Linked DNA regions of Tamandua tetradactyla. The protein of the gene in region 2 purifies or fractionates together with the protein of the main gene of each other region. This does not show direct contact. Links are inferred from orthologs where the notes say so. Each region holds a gene or a part of one and is shown on either strand. Other genes may lie near its edges.

Evidence for each region. The genes of interacting proteins can lie anywhere in the genome.
Region 1: the proteins of EXOC8 (region 2) and RALB purify together in Homo sapiens (affinity purification with western blotting; 6 studies listed by BioGRID and IntAct, counting the BioPlex papers as one, with this or other methods). This does not show direct contact. The link is inferred for Tamandua tetradactyla from reciprocal best matches to the Homo sapiens genes EXOC8 and RALB.

The regions. Positions count from the first base shown.
Region 1 is NC_135329.1:93,271,752-93,279,112, reverse strand, and holds the start of RALB (ras-related protein Ral-B), read left to right. Parts: upstream 1-4,294; 5' UTR 4,295-4,380; intron 4,381-4,839; exon of another isoform or gene 4,840-4,992; intron 4,993-7,361. UniProt on the Homo sapiens protein: Multifunctional GTPase involved in a variety of cellular processes including gene expression, cell migration, cell proliferation, oncogenic transformation and membrane trafficking.
Region 2 is NC_135333.1:1,008,851-1,016,787, reverse strand, and holds the start of EXOC8 (exocyst complex component 8), read left to right. Parts: upstream 1-4,889; 5' UTR 4,890-5,404; coding exon 5,405-7,591; 3' UTR 7,592-7,937. Other genes in the region: DNA-dependent metalloprotease SPRTN, read right to left, coding at 1,239-1,367, 3,380-3,479, 4,520-4,740. UniProt on the Homo sapiens protein: Component of the exocyst complex involved in the docking of exocytic vesicles with fusion sites on the plasma membrane.

The DNA of each region.
Region 1 (7,361 bases), on a different chromosome or scaffold from region 2:
CTGGCAATTGCTGAACTGAGCAAAAAAGTTAAGATTTTGAAGGTGTAAATACCAGGGGCTTTTTTCTTGGTAGCTGCCTCCAAAAGGCTGGAAGGAAAGGAGCTTGGGGGAAATCACCCAGGCTTCGTGGGAGGATTCCAAAAGTGTTGGACCCTTCCCTGGGGTCCTGGGGGAGAACTCAGGAGTTTGAACCTTTTCTCAAGGAGGAATAATTCAATGCATCCTAGTAATATGTGGCTGTCCCCTATCTAATTCCCCTGGGGTTTGAGCAACTGGACGAGGCAAATGTCTAGGAAGAAGTGGGCCCACTTAGAGTTGTCCTTACTAAGGATTCCTGCCCCTGAATGAGTCCCTGCAACCCCTTCCTGAGACAGGATTAGACAACCAGAAGTTGGGAGAGAACACCTGGGCACAGAATAGAGAAGACTGAAGTGCTGAAAGTGAACTCCATTTACTTTTACGGCTTAGATTTTTCCTATAACCTTCAGTAGGCAGGAATGACTCCACCCCCCACCCCACCCCCATAGACTGGCAGCCCCTTTTCCTTTCTAAGGTGGTTACCTTAGTCAAATGCCCATGGGGGCTGCTGGAGTGTGTCAGACTCTTTATAATAATACCCTCTATTTATATAATACTGCTGGCTTGCGGAAACGAGTCTCTCCTGGGGGCTGAGACTCCAGGAAACTGTTCAGCTGTCCCTCTTCACACACTCCTTGTTTCTGCCTGGCTTCCAAGCACTCATCTCCCTGAGGCCAAAGCATTCCTGGGGATCCAGTCTTCAAACCGTGCCTCTGGCTCCTCTGGGATTTGCAGGAGGGCTCTTCTGGTTTAGCCTCCAGCTTTCTTGCTCCCCTGCTCCAGTGGTCTCCTGTTACCTGAGGGCAGATTACCTTGGCTAGCCTCTGGCCCCCATGTTACCTGGACCTATGGCAGAAGTTCTCACATTGGTCTGCACCCCCCGCCCCCAGCCCTGTCTCCACACAATAGCCAGAGTGATTTTTTTTGGGGGGGGGGGGCAGCGGGGAGAGTGTGTGCATGGGCTGGGACTTGAACCTGGTCTCCCGCAGGGCACAGAACGATCTTCTTAAAACTGCAAGCAGTTACCTTCCTGGCTTGAACCTTCTCGGCAACTTCCTGCCACACTTGGGATCACTTCGGATGCCTAGAGGAAGGACTAGGCATCTGGCTCCTGCTTCCAGCTCCCCAGGCCTCACTGCACTCCATACAGCCCCTTGTGTCCCCAGGGGTACCAAGCCTCTTCTGCCTTGGGGCTTTGCACCCCTCATTCCTCTGCCTCCCCTCACCCCTACCTCTGCAAGACTGACTCCTCCTCATCCTTAGGTCACAGACTAAATGCCAACAAAAGAGAACTTTTTTGGCCACTCTATCTAAAATAATTTGCAATTACACAGTGGATAATTGTTGAGTGGCCATAGCTGATAAGCTACTGGCTTATTATCTGTTCTCTTGACTGAGCCATTCACCTCCCTGTCCCCAGCTCCAGGCTTGGCACACCGTATGGCCTAGCAGCGGTCAGAGCAGGCTAAGCTATGCTGTGTAACAAACAGCTTCCAAATCATAGTGTTCCAAACCACAATGATTTCTCATTTCAGTTGTAACAAATGTGCCACACCAATGCAAGCTGTTAATAAGAGGGAGTTAACAGATGTGGCCTCTCTCTCCAGCCAACACAACAAAGAACTCACTACCTCCCCCTGTCTATGTGGGACATGACTCCCAGGGGTACGGATCTTCCTGCAACGTGGGACAGAAATCCCAGAATGAGCTGAGATTCAGCATCAAGTGATTGAGAAAAACTCTAGAATGAGCTGAGACTCAGCATCAAGGGATTGAGAAAACCTTCTGGACCAAAAGGGGGAAGAGTGAAATGAGACAAAGTGTCAATGGCTGAGAGATTTCAAACAGAGTCGAGAGGTTATCCTGGAGGTTATTCTTACACATTAAGTAGATATCACCCTATCATCCAAGATGTAATGGAGAGGTTGGAGGGAACTGCCTGAAAATGTGGAGCTGTGTTCCTGTAGCCATGTTTCTTAATGATGATTGTATGATATAGCTTTCACAATGTGACTGTGTGATTGTGAAAACCTTGTGTCTGATGCTCCTTTTATCTACCTTGTCAACAGATGATTAGACCATATGTAATAAAAATAAATAATAGGGGGAACAAATGTTAAAATAAATTTAGCTTGAAATGCTAATGATCAATGAAAGGGAGCGGTAAAACGTATGGTATGCAAATTTCTTTTTTGTTTTCGTTTTATTTTTGTTATCTTTTTATTTCTTTTTCTGAATTGATGCAAACGTTCTAAGAAATTATCATGATGATGAATATGCAACTATGTGATATTGTGAATTACTGATTATATATGTAGAATGGAATACACATATATTAAGAATGTTTGTGTTTCTTTTCCATAATTTTTTTAAATAAAAAATTAAAAAAACAAACAACAACAAAAAAGAGGGAGTTAAATGGGAACCCTGTATTGTATGCATGATTTTTCTGTAACCCCTCAAGTTCCATAATAATAAAAAAGATTTACTTCTCATGCTAATGCCCACCACAGCTTGGCAGGGGTCTCTGTCCATTGTAGGCACCCAGGCTGATGGAGCAGCCACCCTCTCAAACATTCTCAGTGGCTGTACAGAGAAAAATTGAACTGGCAATCACATTCTCCAGCCCAGAAATGATTAATGTGTCACTTTGGCTCACAACTTATTGGTTGGACTCAGTCACAGGGCCCCATCCAACCACACAGGGTGCTCCTATGGGTTGGATGGAGCTGCCCAGTATTCAGGATGGTAAAGTGGAAATACGTGGCAAGTAGCACTGAAGATCAGCACAGTACTTAATAAATACTCTTGGAGGAGAGAAGATCTAGAGTGTTTTCTGCACAGCTGCTAAAGGGTAGGAAGACCTCCCAGGCTCCTGCCATTTGGGCCCCTGCTCTGCCAGGAGTCAGTGTTCCAGCAGACAAGAGCATCTCCTGGCAATCCCAGAGGTAGCTGAGCCCCGTGGCCTACCAGTGTTCTCCCTCTGGCAGGACACATTTCTGGGCTGATGTCCTCTGTGAGACAGCTCCTTCAAAAGGGTTGTGCCACTCCTCTCTGAATCTGCTACAGCCAGTTAAGGGCGTGTCCTGTCCCAAGAGCTGAATACAGCAGGTCCTTACACTAGGCCTTCCCCCCGGCTGCACGGAGCATGTACATTTGTAATGACGGTGCTGTATAGTCCCAGGTACAGCAGGGCCTTGGGAGGAAACACCATCCCAGGGTGGGTTCTGACACACTGGGGTGTACAAAGGGGCCTCTGGTGGAAGCATCCTTCAAGCTCACATTCCCTGAGCACTCCCCCGGTTCCCAGCACTGTACCCAGAGCCTTACTTGCAATTTCTTTTAAATCTTCACCCCTATCAGTAAAGTATGGCCACGTCTGGGCAGTTGGGGAGACTGAGGTCCAGAGAGGTTAGGCAACTTCCTAATTACCTTCTAGTTATAAGGCACAGCTGTCCTTTGAATCTATGCTTCCCGACTCCAACCCTATACACTTAATTATATTCCTGCATAGAAAAAGACATGATTCCCCCTCCAGAGATACTCCTCTTGAGAAGCTGCCTAACCCTTCTCTCTTACAGTACCTGGCAGATTTCTGTCAATAAATCTAGTCTTTAACTGAATGAGAAGATAAAAAGAATACTCAAGATGTAGATAAAATAGTCAGATATTTTTCTGGTTGTATGTTTTTGTTAAACCCATTACTTCAGATGAAGGTAAAGCTTCTGAACTTTTTGACATGGATGTTGGTGGAGGAACAGATGCGTTAGTTCCTTGAGCCTGGGACTCCAATCAAGCCACACAGCCTCTAACATAATACCTATGTATCTTAATGTGTATCAACAATGAAAGGATGAATTAATTTAATTTATAGGCAGACACCGTGCTAACTGCTGTGGATAAAAAATTGGATAGGAGATAGTTCCCATTCTTAAGAGATTACAGAGACTGACATTTAATCAAAACACTGACATCCAGGGTGACACGCCAAGGAGGCTTAAGGTGCAATGGGCCACAAAACCAGCGGAGGTGACGGCGGAAGGAGGTGACTCTAGGAAGGGGCAGTTAGTTCCGCAAGTCAACCCGAGGAGAAGCCCTATTTGGACAGAAAATGACAAGTTCCGGGGTTTCAGAGGGCGGGGCCGGGTTGTGGGAGAAAACCTGTGTGTCAAGTGTTCGCCCACCGCACTTCCTGCCTCCAGACCGAGAGCAAGGTGAGGGCGCCGGTGCCGGGTGTGACTCGGCCGAGGAGCTCCGCCACTGCTAATGGGATGCCATTAGTCGAGTGCGTCGTGGCGGCAAGTAGGGTTCCGCCCCAGGGGCCCTCAGCCGGCGTCTCAACTGCCTCCCACACCCACCCCACCCCGCGTGCCAGCACACCTTGCCGCTCCGTAATTTGCCTTGGTTTCCATTTATAGGTTCCCTTTTGGTGGCAAAGACGCCAGCCGCGCCCGGGGGCAGACCCCAAGCTTCACCGCCCCGCACCAGTTCATGCACCCCTGCTGCGGCAACGGTCACGTGCCTAGGAAGGCAATGGGGTGGGCGGGGCCGGCGCGCTGAGACCGCCCCCCCCCCCCCCCCCCCCCGCTTGAGGCGCCTTCTCATTGGCGCAGCCTTCTGTCCCCGCCCGCTGCCAGTCACGTCCGTTTCGGGTTGGCTGATGGTTTCTGACGGGCGTGGCCTGCGGAGGGGAGGGCGGGAACGGAAGGGACGGCGCGCTCTCGAGAGGAGGGGTTGCCTAGGCGACGTCGGGGGCGCGCTTGGGGGGTGGGGAAGCGAGCCGGGTCTGCTTCATGACAAATCGGCGGGAGACGGCTGGAGTCCGGCCCCGGGAGGAGGCGACGGGTGGGGCGGGGCGGGCCTGAGGGCGGCGGGCCGGGTGCGGACGGGCGAGGCGGCGCGGGACGTTCCCAGGTGAGGGCGCGCAGCCCGGTAGGGCCCCTCGGGCGGGGCGGGGCGGGGGCCGGGGAAGTGGGGCGCGGGGCCTCCTGCCCCCGCGCTGTCCGCGCGGAGCTGGGCCCGGCGGTGGCCGGCGGCGGAGGGCGACGCCCGGGCACGGGGTCTCTCGGAGAGGCCGCGGCCTCCAGCCCAACCTGGGGCGGAGGAGACGGGGCAGTGGCCCAGCCGCTCCCTTCGTGCGGCTCCTTCCCTTTTCCCACTAATGGCCTCGGTTTCCACTTCCTGCCCGGTCCGGGCTCCCGCTTCCTCTGCCTCTTAGTTGCCGCTGCGGGTAGGGAGTTGCAAAAACTTATTACTACCTTAGGGACTTGTATTGCGGTGAACTGGCGTCGTATTCCGAAAGTTTTGCCTCAATTTTGGTTCTGTCTTGGAAATGAATGTACAGTTGCCTTCTTCCCACTCCCACTATCCTCTTTGATAGGTGCGAGCAAAGAATGTTGCTTCTTATGGGGAATACCATGGACCTGGCTGTTTCCCGGGGCCAGGCATCAACTTCAATGTTTCTGCCTCCTTACAGATTATAAGGTAGTCCGTGGCGGTTCAGAGCTGCCCATCGCCGGGATAGCTCAGCTCACATTGTATGTCCCCTCTGTGCTAATTTTCAGGTGATTATTGGAAATGTTGGGACTTGAATGTTATCAGGTAAAGTTATCAGGTGAGAAGTTCCTGGTGTCCAGGGGGAGACTTCGCTGATTGCTTGAGTTGATATCAGTGACTTGACCTCAAGCATGTGGAACAGTGGACTTTCTGCTTTGTGCTAGTTTCCTAACCTCCTTTCCTTTTGTGAAACTTTGGGGATGGATAGTGGGCACCAATTATCAGGGGAGAATATGTCTTTTAGATGCATTAACGACGGATGTTCTAAAGCAGAGCATTGAGATCCTTGAGTGTCAAAGCTTGGAACAGAGGAAAGCAGCATTCCATAAAGCTGAAGAAATGGAATGAGAATATGGAAGTTCTGAGATGGGGTGGCCAGGAAAGGTAGCATGGAATAGTGGGAGGAAGAGGAGTGCTGGATTTGAAGACCTAGGTTCCCCGCTTGTTCTGCTAGTGGTGTGATCTTGAGCATGGGTTTTCTTTCACCCCTCTGAGCTCTGGATTCCATGGTGATAATGGTTATACCTTTGCCACCTAATTGCTGGGATAGATCAATGAAAGTTCTATTTAAATCAAGGTAAGGACTGTTTAAATCGCTCTTTGTGGCATTGGGTGGGAAGAAGCCTGGGAAAGGGACATCATTGTGATGTTTCCTTATGAGCTATTTTAATCCTGTCAGCTAGCCTCCTTTCTTCCGACTGCATGTGGCCTTTTCTTTCCTTTTCTGGTCACCTTATTTCCTGCTGGAAACAGTGGGTACTCTTGCCTTCGATTTCAGCAAGACTTCTCTATGCCTGAGGAATCAGACCTTTCCCCAGGATTTTGTGTGGAAAAGTGTGGGTATAGGATATAAGATTTCTTTTTGGAATGTGGGATCTAGACATATAAAGACAGAAAACACGAATTAGAACTTTCAGTGGTATCTGAAGAGGTCTTGGTAATAGGTGGAAGAAATGATAAAAGTTCTAAAGTTCCGCTTTTTATTAGATTCTTACCTTGCCTAAACATGGCTTGAGACTCCATGAAATGTGTTATGGGTTGAATTGTGTTCCCCCCCCCCCCAAAAAAAAAGATGGGCTGGAGTTTTAACTTCCAGTACCTCAGACTATGACCTCATTTGGAAATAGAGTCATTGCAGATGTATGTAGTTAGTTACATCGAGGTCATACTGGAGTGGCATGGGCTCTTAATTCAATATGGTTGGTGTCCTTATAAGAAGAGAGGAGTCAAAGAGATAGACACAGAGGAGAACACAGTATGAAGAGAGCCACAGAGGGAAGATGGCCATGTTAGGACAGGCGGAGAATGGAGTGATGTGTCTATAAGCCAAGACACCCCCTGGGGCCACCAGCAGCCAGGTGGGAGGCATGGGACACATTCTTCCCTAGAGATTTCAACGGGGGCATGACCTTGCTGACGCCTTGATTCTGGGCTTCTAGGGTCCAGAACGGTGAGAAATAGATCTCTGTGATTTTAAGTCACCCAGTTAGTGGGTACTTTGTTATGGGAGTCCTAGAAAGTTAATACAAAAAAGTAATTTGTTTCTAAAATCTCAGAGTTGAGATCATCCTTTGTACTACATCACTCAATTCTACTAGACCTCTTTGCTTTCAGCTCCTAAATTCTTACCTCCTCATCTAATTTATGGAAGTTGGAAACATCATTGGTGTGCTTGCCTGTAAAGCTGGTTTTGGAGACATTGTAACGACCTAGAACTCAGTGTCTGA
Region 2 (7,937 bases):
AAAGCATAAATTCTGATGAAGAAACTACAAAATTTTTACACATCATAATTTTTTTTGCTAATCTGGATTTTATGTCTGATTATTTTTAATGCAGGCCACTTTTCTGATATTGAAGTAACTGTGCATCCAATAATTAAATCCAGAATATTAAAGAAAAGAGTAATAAATGGAGGGTGAGTACTTTACATTTTATTGCCTTTCGATGGAAGCACATACCCAATTACACTACAGAATATAATCATGTAGAAATTAATAATTCTATTTGGCCCCATTCAACTCTGTATTTGTTAAACTCTTGTAAGGATACTAAATTATACATCTTGCTTCAAAAAAAAAGACTAGACTTCAGAGATATGCAAGTAGAATACAGAATTGCAAGAGGTTAAACATCTGCTAGGAAATTCAAAGGAGGGCGAAGTCATATCCAATTGGAAAGAAAAAGGGCATTTGGACAGAAAACAGAAGAAATGGGATATATGAGGAAAGGCATGGAGGTAAAAAGTTCAGTTAGACAGGAACATAGAACACACGCAGGGGAGTTGTGAGAGGTGGGAAAAAAGAAACAATAAGATTATCTTATAAAATTAAAACTAATAATAAAAACAACTACTATTTAATTAGTGCTCAAAGTGTGCTAAAATGTTCCTTTAGTTCTCATAAGGAACCAATAGATAGGTATTGTTATCCCCATTTTAAAAGTGAGTTAAATGAGGCACAGAAGAGTTAGGTTAGTAACTGGTGGATCTAGGATTTGAACATAGGCAATCTGCTTCCTCATGCTTCTTTAACCCCAGGCTAACGCTGCCTCCTATAATACTATGCTGAGATGTTTGTTCTTAATTCCATCGTCAATGTGGAATCAAAGAAGGCTTCTGACGAAAAGACTGACATATGAAATGGGAGAATATAGGATGGTTTGAAGGAGACCATAATAAGTAAACAAAGTTAAGAGACAATTGACATAGTTCAAGCTTATGTAATTAGACATAATTACAAGCCTAAATTAACTACATGTAAGATGTTAACCTGGATGATGTCAGAGGCCTCAGATAAAATTCTGGCTTTGCTGCCATTCGATTCTGGGGTCCTAGATAAGTCAATCAGCTTCTCCAAGCCTCTAGTTTGCAGGTGAAAATGGTCAAAGATGTTTGGTACTACCAATTTTCTATTTTTAATTAAATCCCACGAGTTATCTCAAGAAATAAATACAAAGTATCATTAAGTATGTCTTAATATACCGTTATATTGGCTCCTGTCAGGCGGTTGATGCGATGCATATGTTTACAAAACTCTGGACCATGCCCTTCCCGGTCCTTATCATTATTAGTGACAAATAAGTAAGCATGTATCATTTCATGCAAGAGGGTCTGAAACAGAAAACAAAAGAATTTGAAACGGCACTTTTAAAATAAAAATGTATATCTGCATTTTCTTATTCTACCTGGAGGTCTTAATTTTATCTGAATCACAGGCTCCTTTCAGAAACATAAAAGTCATGAACCATCTTGCCAGAAAAATTACATACACATACATTTACAAAACTTTGCAAATGATATCCAAAGCTCTGCAGAACACAGGTTAAGACTCTCTGTTCCAAAAAGGCCTTTTAAATTCTTAATCAAAATCCAGAATAAAAATCTGATGAACTCAACTACACAAAAACTTTAAAATTTCATATGGGGAAAAAAATCATAAGGAGAGTAAAAAAAACATATGTGTAACTGAGTCAGACTATTAATATCCTATTACATAAAGAGCTAAAGTCAAAAGGGAAATGACCAACAACCCAACTTTAAAATTGGCGAAGATCATGGATAGTTCACAGAAAAAGAAATATAAATGACACATAAATATCAAAAGATGTTCAAACTCATAAGAGAAATGCAAATTAATACTACTATAGGATACCATTTCTTGCTTATCAAGACTGATTAAAGCTACTAAAGTTTGACACTGTTAGTAATGCTATGGGAAAATAAACATTCCCATATATCACTGGTGGGAGTTCAAAATGCTACAACCCCTAAAAAGAACTTGGTAACATCTGACAAAATTTAAAATTCATGCATACTTTGGCCCAGTGATACCTAAATTGATATGAAAGATCATTTGTACAAGGTGTATTCATTTTGGCATTATTCATAATGACAAAAGACTGGATATATTCTAAGCGTTTAGAAAGCGGGGACTGGCTGACTGTACTATGGAATATCCACATCACAGAATTCTGTGTAGGTATAAAAAAGAAAGAAAATGATGGCTATGAAAAAGGCAAAGAATGTTAAGAGCGTACATAACACATTTTGTGTAAGTGTGCAGTGTGGCAGAGACAGGGAAGAAGTGAATATAAATATTTGCAAAACAGAACAAGGAAAAAATATGAAACTAGTACCAACAGTTCCCTATAGTGGGTGGGAAGGTCAAATTGGGAGGACGACAAGAGAACAAGATTTCTGTGTATAACTTACTAGAGTTCTGAACCACATAAAATGAATCACGTAAAATTTTAAAATAAAAAAACTCATTATGCATACCACTTCTTAATGAAAATCACAAAAGTCTTCAAAAGTGTAGCATTTTTATAATCCTCTTTTATTAAACAAAGAAGTTTCATCAGAAGAACTAGGCTGGCATTAATTTAATTAAATTTTTAGTCTTATAAAATTATGCTGAACAGAAAAATAGGAGAATCAAAGATTTTAAGTTGGTCATCATAAAAATATCTCTTTTTAAGTTATCAGTTGTCTCTCTCAAAACGAACTTGATTTTTCAAGTCACTCTATCAAGACCCATTCTACATTTCAAAAGTTTCTCAACTTTTCATAATAATGTTAAACAACTATTTCTATACTTTGTGCTGCTAGTTCAGTTAAGTGTCCTGGGATGACAACACTGTGGCAGTTGAATAAAATGTGCATGTCAAAGCAGGAAAACTTTGTTCCTAAGCTTTTTTTCCCTTGTGCTTCTAATTATGTAACTTAATCACTTAATTCTCTGAACTTTAATTTCCTCATTTATAAAAATGAGGATAACATACACTGAACATCAAAAGGATTGCTGTAAAGATCAAGTGGGATAATATATCTGAAAGCCTTTTATAGCTCTGAAGCACTATACAAAATATAAGGCAACTACTATTATTATTTAACCCACAGATAAAAATATAAAGGGAAGGGTGGGCCATGGTGGCTCAGCAGGCAGAGTTCTTGCCTGCCATGTCAGAGACCCAGGTTCGATTCCCAGTGACTGCCCATGCAAAAAAAAAAAAAAGAAAGAAAAAGTAAAGGGAGAAGTGATTTTTTAAAAATGCACAGTACTCTAAATCACTGTAAGCATATCTAAATTACTGAGCTAAAAATTGTATGGATGCAAAGATTACCTCTACAAGATCCTTTCGGGGTCTCAATTTTAAAAGGGGTTCACTGAGACGAATGGAACACATTCCACCTCTCCCTTCATAGCTGCATACCCCAGCACACCTGGAAAACAACCACAAAAATTTGTTACATCACTAAATGCACACCAAAAGGGAAACAGATGAAAGAGCAAATCCTTATACATTCCTGGGCAGCTCACACTAAGAAAATTCTACTGGCAGATGTCTTTCTTGAAAGTATACTCTCTTTGTTATGAGATATTTACACGTCACCCCAGCTAGGGAGATAAGTCAACAGAAATGGCTTCCCTACCCTAGCCAGGCTACAACTGGTCAAAGAAGATAATCCTGTTCATCTACTCCCAGTCTACTCCCTACAAGTTGTAATCAGCCGCTGGTGGTATTAGGCACACACCTACTCCAGTAGCACATCTCCAAAATTATAGTAGGTTATATGAAGGAGAGTTGTACTTTAAGCACAACTTGATATCATATCCTATCTGTAGGTTATGTTTGTTAACAATTCAAAAACATGCATGCTGATATGCAAACTGCATCATACACTTGTTAACCCCTTTCATGCGCAGGAATAGATGATTCTTTCAAATGTGGATTTCTCAATTCTTAAGTGCAGAAAGAAATCCTTTTATGGGCGCCACTGAAGATCCCCTGGGTCCAGATAAAGACAAATGTCAACTCCTTCTTCATTCTAACACATGCCATCACTACTTAGCGAAGGTATCTTACTGAGTAGAGAAGAGGATAACCCACAACACACACCCTTTGGAGGCTTCTGTGCTTCCTCAGCACTTTTAACTAGGGTCAGACTTTGGTTGTTCCCTCCTCCTAGATCCTAAAGCGCTACCATAAGACAAATCAGAAATATGTTCATTTATTATCAAGCGAAGTGAGTTTCAAAAAAAAAGTTCTTTTCTCTTATTTCCCTTATTGTGAGCCGTAACACAGCGTTGTTTGAGCGAGAGACTGGGCAAGAAAGGGACAAATACACTAAGGAGCTACTTGGTCCAGAACCAGACCCCCTCGATTAACGTGCCCCGAGACCATCAAGGCTGAGAAAGCAGAGTCCCAAGGCCCGAAGCAGCAGACCTCCGAGACCCGCCCACCCAGGGGCTCCTGACTCACAGGGTCATGCGCATGCTCCACTTCACCTCCACGGCCTCCAGTTGGCCCCAGAAGAAACGATCGTTGAACTGAACAAACAGGGCCTGCAAATCTGGGGTGGGGTCCACCAGCTCCCACGACGCGTCCACCAACGACAGGGGCTCCTGGGCCTTATCGCGCCCTGCGGTCTGCAAGTCCCATTCCTCCTGCAGCTGTAGCGCCAACACTAAGTCCTCGTCCATCGCTGCCCGGAACTCAAAGCACAAACCCGGGGGAAGCTGCTCCCAGACTCGGCGGCGAGTCACAAATGCTCGCAGGGCCCTAGTCGAACTCCTAGGAGATAGCGGCTCCCAGGCTGCTCTCGTGTTATCCCGCCACAATCGCGAGAATTCGGGGAAAACTGGCTTTAGAACGAGAACGAGAGTTAAGCTGGGACCAAACGTCGTAGCCAAGATTTGGGGGTTTTTTAAAAAAAACAACTAGCATGACACCTCCTACTTGGCGCAAAACTTGGATTTTCAGGGTTCGGCCCAGAGAAAGGTTTCAGGAAGCTGGTTTTGCCTTTCCAGTCCCCGGACTTGCCTCTAACTTCGAACATCTCACGTCACACAGACCTCCGCGCAGTACCTATATCCCTCCGCCTCCGCCCTCCACTCACTTCCGCAACAGCTGACTCGGCGCAGGCACCTCAACAGCTGGCTTTTCTGCGCAGGCGCACTGTCTGTGTGCCGCCACCACCACCCCCCCTTGCGCAGGCGCATTGTTTGGAGCTCAAACCCGGGCGCAGGCGCACACGTCTCGTTTCCGCCCGGCTTACGCAGCCCCGGGCCTCTGTCCGGATTGGGTGGGTCTTGATTGTGGTGTCGGCGGTGATAGTGACAGTGACTGCTTGAGACCCGAACGGAAATGGCCATGGCGATGTCGGACAGTGGGGCAAGCCGTTTGCGGCGGCAGCTGGAGTCAGGTGGCTTTGAGGCGAGTCTGTACGTGAAGCAACTCTCGCAGCAGTCGGACGGGGACCGGGACCTGCAGGAGCACCGGCAGCGCATCCAGGCGCTGGCAGAGGAGACGGCGCAGAACCTAAAGCGCAACGTATACCAGAACTACCGGCAATTCATCGAGACGGCCCGCGAGATCTCCTACTTGGAGAGCGAGATGTATCAACTTAGTCATCTGCTTACCGAGCAGAAGAGCAGCCTGGAGAGCATCCCGCTTACCCTGCTTCCCGCCGCCGCCGCCGCCGCGGTCGCTGGGGCCGCCTCGGCCTCCGGAGGGGAGGAGGGAGCAGGGGGGCCGGGCAGCCGAGACCACCTCCGAGGCCAGGCTGGCTTTTTTCCCACCCCGGGAGGCGCCTCCCGGGACGGTTCAAGTTTGGGTGAGGAAGGGAAGCAGCGCACGCTCACCACCCTGCTTGAGAAGGTGGAAGGCTGCCGGCACCTGCTGGAGACACCGGGCCAATACCTGGTGTACAACGGAGATCTGGTGGAATACGAGGCGGACCACATGGCCCAGCTGCAGCGAGTGCATGGCTTTCTCATGAACGACTGTTTGCTGGTGGCCACCTGGCTGCCGCAGCGGCGGGGAATGTATCGCTACAACGCTCTCTATCCCCTAGATGGCCTGGCTGTGGTCAATGTCAAGGATAACCCACCCATGAAGGACATGTTCAAGTTGCTCATGTTCCCCGAGAGCCGTATCTTTCAGGCGGAAAATGCTAAAATCAAGCGGGAGTGGCTGGAAGTGCTGGAGGAAACCAAGAGGGCCCTCAGTGAGAAAAGACGTAGGGAGCAAGAGGAGGCAGCGGCCCCTCGAGGGCCACCCCAAGTGACTTCCAAGGCCAGCAACCCATTTGAGGAGGATGAAGAAGAAGAACTAACTGTTCCGGAGGTAGAGGAAGAGAGGGTGGACCTCTCAGTGGAATGGATCCAGGAGTTACCTGAAGACCTGGATGTCTGTATTGCCCAGAGGGACTTCGAAGGGGCCGTTGATCTGCTGGATAAATTGAACCACTACCTGGAAGATAAGCCCAGTCCCCCGCCTGTAAAAGAACTAAGGGCCAAAGTGGATGAGCGCGTTCGTCAGCTCACGGAGGTATTAGTTTTTGAACTCTCTCCCGATCGTTCCCTGAGAGGTGGTCCCAAGGCTACTCGTAGGGCAGTTTCTCAACTAATCCGGCTTGGCCAGTGCACCAAGGCTTGTGAACTGTTTTTGAGAAACAGGGCAGCAGCTGTACATACTGCCATACGTCAGCTGCGCATCGAAGGTGCCACTTTACTCTATATTCATAAGCTATGCCATGTCTTCTTTAACAGCCTTCTTGAGACTGCAAGGGAGTTTGAGACAGATTTTGCAGGCACTGACAGTGGCTGCTGCTCCGCCTTTGTGGTCTGGGCACGGTCAGCCATGGGCATGTTTGTGGATGCTTTTAGCAAGCAAGTGTTTGATAGCAAAGAGAGCCTCTCAACAGCAGCTGAGTGTGTAAAGGTGGCTAAGGATCAGTGTCAGCTACTGGGTGATAAGGGACTAGACCTGACCTTCATCATCCATGCCCTTCTCGTGAAAGATATTCAAGGGGCCTTGCACAGTTACAAAGAAATCATAATCGAAGCCACTAAACATCGCAACTCTGAAGAGATGTGGAGGAGAATGAACTTGATGACTCCAGAGGCCCTGGGTAAACTCAAAGAAGAGATGAAAAGTTGTGGGGTAAGTAATTTTGAGCAGTACACTGGGGATGACTGTTGGGTGAACCTAAGTTACACCGTGGTTGCTTTCACCAAACAGACCATGGGTTTTCTGGAAGAGGCGCTGAAGCTGTACTTCCCAGAGCTGCACATGGTCCTTTTGGAGAGTCTGGTGGAAATTATTTTGGTTGCCGTCCAGCATGTGGATTATAGTCTTCGGTGTGAGCAGGATCCAGAGAAGAAGGCCTTTATCAGGCAGAATGCATCCTTCCTGTATGAAACTGTCCTCCCTGTAGTGGAGAAAAGGTTTGAAGAAGGTGTGGGGAAACCAGCCAAGCAACTCCAAGACCTGAGGAATGCATCCAGACTCATCCGTGTGAATCCCGAAAGTACAACATCAGTAGTCTGATGCTTGGATCTGTTTATACATATGTATATAACTTACTTGTGTATTATTTATATTTATATTACGTTACATTAGCATATCTTTATTGGCCTCAACATAGCTTAAAAATTGATGTTCTCTCAGAAATACCAAATCAAAAGAAAAAAAGAAGTTAAGCAAAAATAACAAAAACAATGGAATTATTAAAACATAAAATATTCTTTCCTTTTAAAATATGCTAATTCTCTATGGCCACACTATAGTATTTCACGTTATCCTTTGAATCAACATACACTTTCTCACAGTATATGTTATGTAACACAGAGAAATAATATCTGTAAATACATAGAGTTTAAAGTATATTGTGAAA